Mus musculus: one gene and its partners. The protein of the gene in region 3 interacts with the protein of the main gene of each other region in a pairwise test. Links are inferred from orthologs where the notes say so. Each region holds a gene or a part of one and is shown on either strand. Other genes may lie near its edges.

Region 1 (3,654 bases), on a different chromosome or scaffold from region 3:
TCCCCAAAGTGATAGCCACTAATTGCTTGCTATTTTAATAAACTAGTATGGTTTTAATGAGTTGCCTTTTTAAAAAAAAATTAGAACATACATCTAGAACTGAAGGTCAGATTTGGCTAAGGGTATGGTAGGGCTGTGGGTAACAGATGACTTTATTTTAACCTAAGAGCAGGACCTTCCTGAATTTTAACAGCCTATGTCTCTGCATTTTATTAATTGTAAGAGTCATCTGAGGGTCTTGCTTCCTGGATTTCCTCTCTTTATATTTATGAGAGGGACAGATTTACTCAGCCCAAAGTTCAGAGACAGTGTAGGCAACTTTTCTCATACAAGGAAGTTACTGTACAGAATTGGGCTCCATTCAAAAGCAGCAGGGATTCTCACAATGACAATGTTTGAAACAGTAGTTGACTGAGAAAATATAAGTAAAAAGATCAACAAAAGATTTTCTTAGATGGTATTAGTGCCTATGAGCAATGAAATCAGAAGGTTTGTCTCCAGTGATACTTTTGGCCAAGAGTCATTAAATCAGTATTCGTACATCTTAATAAACCAGATCCTAAGGCACAAACACACGCACACAAAAACATGTCTATGATGGTTACACGCTATACTTAATTACTAGCAACTATTGCATTAAATATTCTACATGCTACATCCTTTAAAAAGGTTTCTGGGTCCTGTGTACATGAGTCATTTCTGACTTGATAGACAGGTTTTGGATGGAAATCTCTTACTGCACTATATCTCCTTAAAGGAAGAACACACCAATTCATTATCTAATGCCAAATGGTCATCCCTGAAAACATACACACATATAATATAATACAGACCAGGCAGATGTATTTAGATATATGTATATAGATACATATATGTATGTAAAAACAATTAATGGAATAAAAAGAGGCCATGAGTTTGAAAAGGAGCAAAGAGATATATGAGAGGGTTTAGGACAAGGAAAGGGAAGTGGGAATTTAATTATATTATAATCTCATATTTAATTATATAATAATCTAACTTAATTATACATAAAATATATACAATTTAATTATATAAATACACATATATAATCTCATATAATTATATTAATCTAAAAAAATAAAAGAAATAGATTTTTAAATATGAATGGTAAGGGTACTTACCTGGCTTTATGATGCCTCCCTTGGGTTCTTTTTTATGACGAGCTGACTGAATACTTCCCTCACCAACCATTCCAATCCTGCATTTCTTCCTGGTAAAGTCTTCATCGCTTCCAGGGCAAAAGCCAATGGGACTGTGCCCTGTGTCTGAAGGAGTCTTCACAGGCGATACCGACTGGCTGCTGGGACAACCTGTGTCATCTAGGAGACAGAAATCCATGAGTTTTGAGTCATGGCACAGGGAAGCCAGCTATGAAGTCTGCACATGCGCATGAATGAGTGACTTGTAGGACCCAAGTAAACTGGGCATGGCTATTAGGATCCTTCTTTTGCTTTTTTCCATACTTTGGCCACTCACATTGGCAACGAAAATACTGTTTTAAGGCAATACTTAAAGATATACTATCTTAGTTAGAGTTTCTATTACTGTGACAAAACACCATGGCCAAAGAGCAAGTTGGGGACAAAAGGGTTTAGTTGGCTTACACTTCCATACTGCTTTTCATTATGAAAGGAAATCAGGACAAGAGCTCAAACAGGATCCTGGTGGTAGGAGCTGATGCAGGAGCCATGGCAGGGTGCTACTTACAGGCTCGCTCAGCCTGCTTTCCTATAGAACCCAGGACTATCAGCCACCCACAATGGGCTGCACTCTCCCCAGGTCATCGCTGAGAAAATGCTTCACAGCTGGATCTCATGGAAGCATTTTCTCCTCAGAGGCTTTTTCCTCTCTGATGACACTAGCTTGTATCAAGTTGACACAAAACCAGCCAGTCATACCATATAAGCCTTTTCATCATAAAGACGTCTGAAACATACATTTCTTACTTAAAGCATATGTCTACTTGAATATTTCATATAGTATAATTTTGGTTCATATTTGTCCACAGATTTTAGTTTTGGGCTTTGCTTGTTTGTTTTTGGTTTTTGTTTTTGTTGTTGAGACAAAGTCTCACTAAGTTTCCCTGGCTGGCCTGGAACTCACAGAAATCCATCTTTCCCTTCCCCCCAAGCACTGGGAAGTGTGTGCCATCGGGCCTTGCTGACCACAGGTGCTTGCATTGGGTAAGTAATTTAAAATTCAGAAGAAAAACTCAAGGTAATTAGCATGTACTTCTCAGAACTGTTTTTGTTAGGAAAATAAAATGACTTGAATATTACTGACATTGCTTAAGCTTTTTGATCACATGGCTCATCAGCTGGTTAGCAGAATTTCCTGTGAGCCTCTGAGTTTAAAAGTTCAAAGAAGCAGAAAGTCATTATATTATAAGCACATATATCCAACCAAAAATAGTCCAAACAGATCTACTCCTACTTGTAGTAAATGGGGAAAATAAATACTGTTTCATTATAGCTAAATATAACTAAGGTCATTCATTGTATTAAGCTAATGGGTACATTATAGGGTGACCAGTACAGGTACCTATTAAGAAACAGAAAACTCATGTGGGGTGGTGGTGCATGCCTTTAATCCCAGCACTCGGGAGGCAGAGGCAGGTGGATTTCTGAGTTCGAGGCCAGCCTGGTCTACAAAGTGAGTTCAGGACAGCCAGGGCTATACAGAGAAACCCTGTCTCGAAAAACACCAAAAAAACAAACAAACAAAAAAACCCAGAAAACTCACATTGTTGTCTCTTACAAATGCTTTCCTTATTTATTAAAGTATTTAGGATGGCAGATTCATTAATTTAAACTCTAGTGAGAATTACATGAGAATTTAGGACCAAATTAATGTTATTTTAACATACACATACTCAGCAAAATTTTAAATTTTTATTACTTAACTCCTTGTTACAAAAGAAAATTATTTTGATTTCAATTTCAGAAATTTCATTACTTTACCAACGTAATGAAAGTTTGTAAGATGATACATACCACTAATAATCTTAGAACTATTGAGTTTTTATGAGTGTTAGAGTACCACGAGTGATGTGCCATCCACCACTGGCTATCCTGGGTCTCCACAGCTGGAGTAAGGATGGCATGGAAATGGGGTTGAATGAAATCTAAGGACTTCACGAGTCATGCCTAGGCTTTCTCTAAAAAGGGATCACCATTGCCCCATTTCTGGCTTCTACTTGATTATAATGATGAAATATCCCAGTTCCTGGAACAAAATGAACTTGGCACGTCAAGACAATGTATTATTTATTGCTTTTTTTTTTTTTTAAATTTTGGACATATTACTTCGCATGGGAACATTTGTTTCTAGAAGTGAATGGTAGTTAGCACACTGTGTCTGCAAATGTGCTATATCCTTCCTTAGTTGCCAGTAACTTTTGGCCCTGTGACCCAGAGGTGGGCCCCTCTATGGGCTGAGACTGTCCAGCTATCCCATCACATGCTATCTGTGCCTTCCCCTCCATTTGCATGCCCTTGTTTCAGTGAAAATAAAAATCAGAGCTCCTCTCTCAGGGTGCAAATTTGCTTACTGGGTCAGATTCCAGCAATTAATACATATATCTGTATACTGCCTAAGAGAAACTTTTCCCATTCTAAAGGAGATGAATTCAAA
Region 2 (3,654 bases), on a different chromosome or scaffold from region 3:
GGAGTTGGTTCTCTATTTCTACCCGGGATCCAGAGACTTAACTCCAGCGGTCAGACCTGCGAACAGGAAAATGCTTTTTACTTGGTAAGCCGTCTCTCCGCCCCCAATTTTTAGTCATTTTTATGTAAACCGGTTTCTCTTTCTACAAGTGCTCAAAGACTGCCTCTTGGACACATTTTAGCATACCGAGAAAAAGTAAAAAGCTAACAAACTGGTAAGATCTATTTTTATCACCTTGTTTACCTGGCATGGAAATCCTGCCACTTGCTGGTGACTCTACTTCCTGTATAGTACTAAGCTCATGCTGGTTTAAGTCCAAGACACATTTAACTTTGGAGACAGGTGGCTTTGAGGCTCTACCACTCAGTTCTTTGGCCAGACTCTCACCTATCAAGTCAAGAAAAGGTTAAGCAAATCAAACTTTGTGACTTTTCTCCTGTCAGCTAGCTGCAGGGACAGGGTATAATCAGAAGATAACAGGGATCATCTTACCATTGTGCTCAGCATGGACATCTGCACGTGGCTGCTCACCATTAGCGCTCCCCTGACCTGCGTCTCCCCAGGTAAGGCCTTGGGTGTGAGGAAACCACCCTCCGAGCTGTTCTCTCTTCTGCATTTCCAAGTCATTCTCATCTGTGGGATTCCTTGCCTGAAAATATAGGTAGGGAAACGGGAATGTGGGTTAAGAGATCCCATGAATAAGCCATGAGATTGAAATCTCCCTTAAGTCGGAACCTCAGCTGAATGACTAATTCCATCACTATAGCAGTTTTGCCCCGTGTCTCTGTAATAGCCTACTTTATGGGCTCTACCAAGTACTTGGAAAGCACCATATATTTATCACTTTCTGTTGCTCTGTAACTACAAAGTCCCTGTAACTGTTTCCACTGTTGAACAAGCTATTTAGGGAAACCTGAACCCATATCCCCAGGTATAGCTCAGAATAAACAATCTGCTTTATGTTGACAGATGAAAACTGGGACGTACTTTTATCACTGAACGAGTAAAACTCCCAGTGCAAAGTTTGTACGTTACAGCCCCACACCAAGCACTAGATTCCTTTGCGCCTGTTAACACGTTAGACCTGAGTGCTTCCCTTTGCCTTTTTTCCCCATTACTTTCCCTTCATCACTCTAGGGTTTTAACTTCTAGGTTCAAGTACCTCCTGAACATCTAGGCGCTGCAGAATTGTTTGCACTAAGGAAGTTAAGAAGTGGCCTAAAGAAGAATAGACCCATTCTAACTAAATATGTGTCCGAGTGACGATGCCAGTTTTCTCAGCAACTCAAATGTAAGAAGTGTAGGTCTGGCTTCTATCAGATTATAACCATACCAACTATACCATTATGTCACTTAGGGAAAAACAGGACACAGATTTTGATTCATATACAAATGTTAACAGTCGTTAGAGAACAGGATCTATCACACTATAAGAAATCTATTAACCAGCCCTTTTTATAATTTTATCTGAGAACCCACTGCAACAAAATTCCTAAAGATGCATATTCTTTAATGTTTACTGTATTTTAAAAATGACTCTATAAAGTAGATATATTTGTTTCAATTTCTCAATTACTAAGTTACTCTCAATAACTAAGGAGAAAGTAGGTTTAGGATTAAAATGAAATCAGGTTTAAATATCTATTATGCTAAAGTTTTAAATTCAGAACATACCTGACTGACATTAAAGAAATTTTTCAAAGTCTCTCTGTGTCTTTGGATTTGCTGCTGTAAGGATGTCTGTCTCTGCACAAGCAATTCTTCTTGGGCTTTTTGCCTAGAGTGTAGAGTTTCTCTTTGTAGATTCAGCTGCTTCTGAAGACTCATGTTATCTTGCTGAGTTAAGACAGGTTGGGAACAGCTTAAAAGCCTGTCCTGCAATCTTGGGATCACAGCATCATTAGGAGCTGCATGCTTCTTGTCAGATAAATACAACTCACAAATGCTTTTAGATTTACTTTCTGCAAAAGGTAGTGAAATGAATGGATGCTCTATTTCCTTGGACAGAAACAAAGGAGGGAGGGAATGCTCAGAAGATTCACTTTTGTTTTGGCTCTTTTGTTTGTGTAAAAGCAGTTCTTTATGAAATACCTTTTCTAAGTCCAACTGCTCTGTCATGTTATTCTGCAGAGGCAGACGAGGCTGTGAAAAGCTCAGATACTCATCTTGGGACCCAAGCAGCTCAGTCTCGTTACTTTTAGTTGGGAAAGACTGTAAGGTCCCGTCAGAATTGGCAATGGGCAGTGCTACCTGGGATGAAAATAGAGAGGAGCTAATTTGTTTGGAAGATATCCTTTGCTCCAATTTATTTAACCTTTGCAAAAGCATTTTCTCTTGCATTTCCTGGCCAGATCTAATGGCTTCCCTTTGCATATCTAACTGCTGTTGAAGTGCCTTTAAGTCATCATGTTGAGGCTGGATAAAATGCTCAGCAGACATCTCTTCAAATTGACATGGTCTGGGAAACACCAACCCTTCTTGGGCTTTCTCAGTAGAGTGAAAAAAATTTGTTTGTGCATGAAGGTGTTCTGGATGTGCAGTCAGATTATTCTGCTGAGGTAAAGCAGTATGTGATAAACCCAATGTCCTGTCAGGCAACTCCAGCATCTCAGGATAACCTGAAGATATGGTGTCACTGTTGGTTGAACACAGTTCTTGTGCTCTTTCAGTATCAGAAACAGGGAATGAAGCAAGTGAATGTTGTGGTATCAGGGGAGAAAATGGACCAACCTGCTCTGGGAATATTTTTTCCTTCCATTCTCTTAGTGTTTCTTCATGAGCTTCTTGTCTAGAGTGGATGATGGCTTCCCTTTGTGTAGCTAATTGTTCTTGAAGGGCCTTCAAACTGTCTTGTTGAGGCGGGATGAGCTGGGATATCTTCGAAAGTCTATGCTGCAGTTCTGGTATCTGAAGATGGCTTGACTTGACTTTACTGTCACTCTCTGTTGAGAGAGGGTGCTGTGTGATACCAGAGTCAGCAGATGGCAAGGACACACACGATGGCAGTCTTAATGAGGCTTTGAAGGACGAAAAACCTGTCTGTTGAGAAGATGGATTTTCTGGAGTTAGAGGACTAGATTGAAAGCTCTCTTTTTCTGTGTCTACCCATTCTTGGTGTTCCTGCAAATTATCTTGGAGAGGGAATGTATGTTGTGAAACTCTAACTAGTCTTTCCCGAAACGCTGGAATCTTAAAATGCCTTAAGGGGTCTGTCCTATCACTTCTGACTGATACAGACCCCCGGGATGTTCCCCAGTCGGTGACTTGGGATGGAGAAGACAAGGCATCAGTCTGTTGAGAGCAGAGCCCCTTTTCTAATTCATTTTGCTTGGGAGCAAATTCCTCATTATTTTTTCTAGCACCAAGTATAAGCCTCTGAATGTGTGTCTCTTCCTGGAGTGGTGTAAAATGTTCTTGTCTTTGCAGGCTGTGCTGTGGAAAGCCATGGGTGATCAAATGACTGGAGAGAACTCTATTTTCTTCCTCAGATGAATACACGTCCTGGAGCCGCTTAGGTACTTCTGAAACTGCACGAGAAGCATCTGCATGCTGAACAACCACGGAGGAGAGTGATTCTACTGGCCCAGCCTCACTGTCTTCTGAACAGCTTTCTTTATATAAAAGTAATGTCTCTTGACCATCACGTCTAGGCGG
Region 3 (3,654 bases):
ACAGACACACACTCACTCACTAAAAACCATTTCCAGTGAAGACATTTGGCTAAGGCTAAGGCTTTAGATATTGGAGTGTTCTTATTATGCAATGGTGGAATAAAAAAGTAGATGACCAGATACCACTAGGGTTTAATCCCCTAGGCTCTGAATAGGTCGTTGCCAAAGAGTAAGCATTTACTAACACAAGAGAAAGGTAGCTGACATAAATGTGGGGAGCAGGGTAGTGTGGGGAGGGGAGAGGAGCTAGAGTCAGTTACCGAAGGGGAGCAGGGTAGTGTGTGGAGGGAGAGGAGCTAGAGTCAGTTACCAAAGGGGAGCAGGACAAGTGTGTGGAGAGGGGAGGAGCTAGAGTCAGTTACAAAGGGGAGCAGGACAAGTGTGGGGAGGGGAGAGGAGCTAGAGTCAGTTACCAAAGGGGAGCAGGGTAGTGTGGGGAGGGGAGAGGAGCTAGAGTCAGTTACCAGAGGGGAGCAGGACAAGTGTGGAGAGGGAGGGGAAGGAGCTAGCGCTTCCAGAGGTGTTAGAACAGAGCCTATGATATCGCTGCACAGTTTCTGAAGTGTGGTCTCAAACCTCAGTATAGAGGCAAGCAAGCCTTTCAAAATCCTGTGGAGAAAGTGAACCAGACACTGGCTGACTTGACGCAGAGAGCTCTGGCAGCGTCTCACCTCTGCACTTCCTGTACACGTCTAAACAGCAGGAACCTTTACATTTCCTTTCACTTTGTAGGCCAACATTCAGTCAATCATGGCCTCTGAGAAACAAGTGAACACCCTGATGCAGTTGCTGGATGAGGCGCTAACGGAGGTGGACCAGATTGAACTGAAACTGAGCAGTTACGAGGAGATGCTCCAAAGTGTGAAAGAGCAGATGGATCAGATCTCTGAGAGCAACCACCTGATCCATCTCAGCAACACGAATAATGTGAAGCTCCTGTCCGAGATAGAGTTCCTCGTGGTGAGCATTTCCATAGGCTACCAGCAGGGCAAAAGCAGGAAGCCTAGTGATGTTATGTAAAACTCACTTACAAACCAGCTTCCTTGTGAGATCAGGATGTAAAGTGGTACAGAGACTGAGTGATAGGTGAGTAGTGCCCTGCCTGTATTTTCCCCACAATTGCACGTGCAAGTGGTGTGTTTGGATGTGTTCCAGAACCACATGGACTTGGCCAAAGGTCATATAAAGGCCCTTCAGGAAGGAGATCTTGTTTCTTCCCGAGGCATCGAGGCCTGCACCAACGCTGCTGACGCCCTGCTGCAGTGCATGAACGTTGCTCTTCGCCCAGGTGTGTAGCCGTGATACAATCTGACCAAGAACCGAGACTAACACTGGGACTTGGTAGAAATATTTTGACAAGAAGTAACTTGGGCTAAGTGACTATTAGCTATACAAATGAGTTTCACAGATTCCCCTACAAATTCCTATTAACACTAAACGTTTTCATTTCAGTCCCTTCTGATGGACCATCTTTACCTTCACAAATGTATTTTTATGCTCTATCTAGTTTTTATTTGTTTAGTTGGGGGTTAGCTTCTCACAGCATAGCCTAGGCTGGCATCACACATACAGTCCCCCCTGCTTCTCTAGTGCCGAGTGTACAGGCACGCACTACCATGCAGCACTCTAACCATGATCTTGTGTAAACATATAGCTTTCTTATTGTATGTGTGTGCACATATGTGTGCATGTGGACACTGTGTACAACAGCATCCGTGCTGAGGTCAGAGGACATGTTTCTTATTGTATGTGTGTGCACATATGTGTGCATGTGGACACTGTGTGCAACAGCGTCCGTGCTGAGGTCAGAGGACATGTTTGTAGATTCCGTTCTTCTGCACCTTTAGGGTTCTTGGGGTTGAGCTCAGATTCCCAGGTGTGTGTGCGAGCACCTTCACCCCGGAGCCATCTCGCTGCCCTGCTACAATCGCGCGTTGCTGCTGCTTTAGACGTAGCAGACAAGCACAGGTAGACGTTAGGACAGGCCGGAGCAGATAGGGGTTCCTAGGCAGCGGAACCTAGAAATACCAGGAAATCCTCACACTCGGTAGGTCTAGGCTGAGGTCCTAAAATTCCTATTTCTAGTGGTTGCCAGGTGATACTGAAGACGAACCAGGGTGTTGTATTACTTTTTCTCCTTTTAAAGTTTTACAAAGCACATGAATAAGCCATTATAGCTTTCGATTCTTCAAAAGTTGTCTGGGTATCATTAACACAGTACAGATTTGAGCTACAGCTCAGTGGGAGACTGTATGTCTACCATGCACAAGGCTCTGGGTGTGCCAGGACCTGGGGTTGGTGAGCATAGTAATCACGGAGGGGAGGCCAGCAAGGTGGTCCTCAAGAGGGGCTTGCTGGACAGCTTGGCCATCTGAGCTGGAGTTCTGGGACCCACGTAAAGGTGAAGGCTGAGGAAGGCCTCCACAGACTTGTCCTCTGACCGCCACACGCACGTTGTGGAGAGGTGTTTCTCGTTCTTCTTTACCCTTCCCGAGCGAGCGAGAGAGTGAGGGACTGTGGTTGTGCCGTAGGCCATGACATGCTCCTGGCCGTCAAGCAGCAGCAGCAGCGCTTCAGTGACCTGAGGGAACATTTCGCCCGGAGACTGGCCAGCCATCTCAACAATGTTTTTGTTCAACAGGTAATTTTAATCTACTATTAAAACTGACATGTTTCTGCAGGTCATTTATATGTTGCCCTAAACTTAAATTCCCCCAAATATTTACTGTGTTCATTTGGGGCTATAGTGTATTCCTTCCCACGTTTCTATGGTTTGAAGATTTTGAAATCTGTGCATAGTTCCTCACAGACGTACCTTGGACTGCAGGTAACCCTTTACACAGACGTCAAGTCCCTTCTAGCTGAAACGGATGCTAGGAATCACAGCTAGATTCATTAGTTACATAAGCAACTGGCAGGCGTGTGTTAACTTTTGAGCCTTTGTGTTTTTCAGTGTTCCAAGGTGAGAATCAGGCCTGACTCGTTATCTTCAAAGTTTCACAGGCTCTGTATAGTTAATACAGTGTGTTCATGCAAAGAAACCGCGAGTTCAGCTGTGACTTTTAGTTGATTGGGTCTCCATGTTATAAACTTGCCTCTCTTTCTTTGGAAAGAGATGTTATAATTAATGATAAGGTAGGGATATTTTAGTAATGCCAAGGGACCTTACAATTTGAACAAAAGATATTTTAATAGTTAATATAATTAGATTCTTGTGGGGGTTTTTTGCATTTTATTTTATTACACATATTGAACAGGAAAAATCTTAATAATCGATAAATTCTCTCTGAAAACATTGGATTTTCTTTAAAGTGTTCTGAAACAGTTGTCTTTCTTATATTTTATTTCCAACTAGTTTACTCAGGCCCTCCTACAGCTCTATAACAGGTCCTACTTTCTTTCGGTTCCTGTGAGTACATCAAATTGGCTCAAGCCTCTGTGATTTTTTTTTCATCTGTCTATAAAGTTTGCTAAAGTTAGCAGCAGAATATTTATGCTTACAGCTTAACTTACTGATTTAAGCTACCCATTAACTATATTTGTAATAGTTTTTAAATATCCCATTTGTCCCAAAAGGCATTTAACCTCATTCTGCTTGCCTTTCTCCTTGTTTCTCACCTCCTTGATTTTTTTAGTAATTACTTGTCAGTGGTT

Evidence for each region.
Region 1: the proteins of Exoc1 (region 3) and Sybu interact in a two-hybrid assay, tested with the Homo sapiens proteins (2 studies listed by BioGRID and IntAct). The link is inferred for Mus musculus from reciprocal best matches to the Homo sapiens genes EXOC1 and SYBU.
Region 2: the proteins of Exoc1 (region 3) and Cep295 interact in a two-hybrid assay, tested with the Homo sapiens proteins (2 studies listed by BioGRID and IntAct). The link is inferred for Mus musculus from reciprocal best matches to the Homo sapiens genes EXOC1 and CEP295.

The regions. Positions count from the first base shown.
Region 1 is NC_000081.6:44,717,646-44,721,299, forward strand, and holds part of Sybu (syntabulin), read right to left. Parts: intron 1,341-3,654; coding exon 1,143-1,340; intron 1-1,142. UniProt on the Homo sapiens protein: Part of a kinesin motor-adapter complex that is critical for the anterograde axonal transport of active zone components and contributes to activity-dependent presynaptic assembly during neuronal development.
Region 2 is NC_000075.6:15,330,262-15,333,915, forward strand, and holds part of Cep295 (centrosomal protein of 295 kDa), read right to left. Parts: coding exon 1,675-3,654; intron 650-1,674; coding exon 493-649; intron 388-492; coding exon 244-387; coding exon of another isoform or gene 235-243; intron 1-234. UniProt on the Homo sapiens protein: Centriole-enriched microtubule-binding protein involved in centriole biogenesis.
Region 3 is NC_000071.6:76,542,723-76,546,376, forward strand, and holds part of Exoc1 (exocyst complex component 1), read left to right. Parts: intron 1-732; coding exon 733-960; intron 961-1,155; coding exon 1,156-1,288; intron 1,289-2,531; coding exon 2,532-2,641; intron 2,642-3,355; coding exon of another isoform or gene 3,356-3,409; intron 3,410-3,654.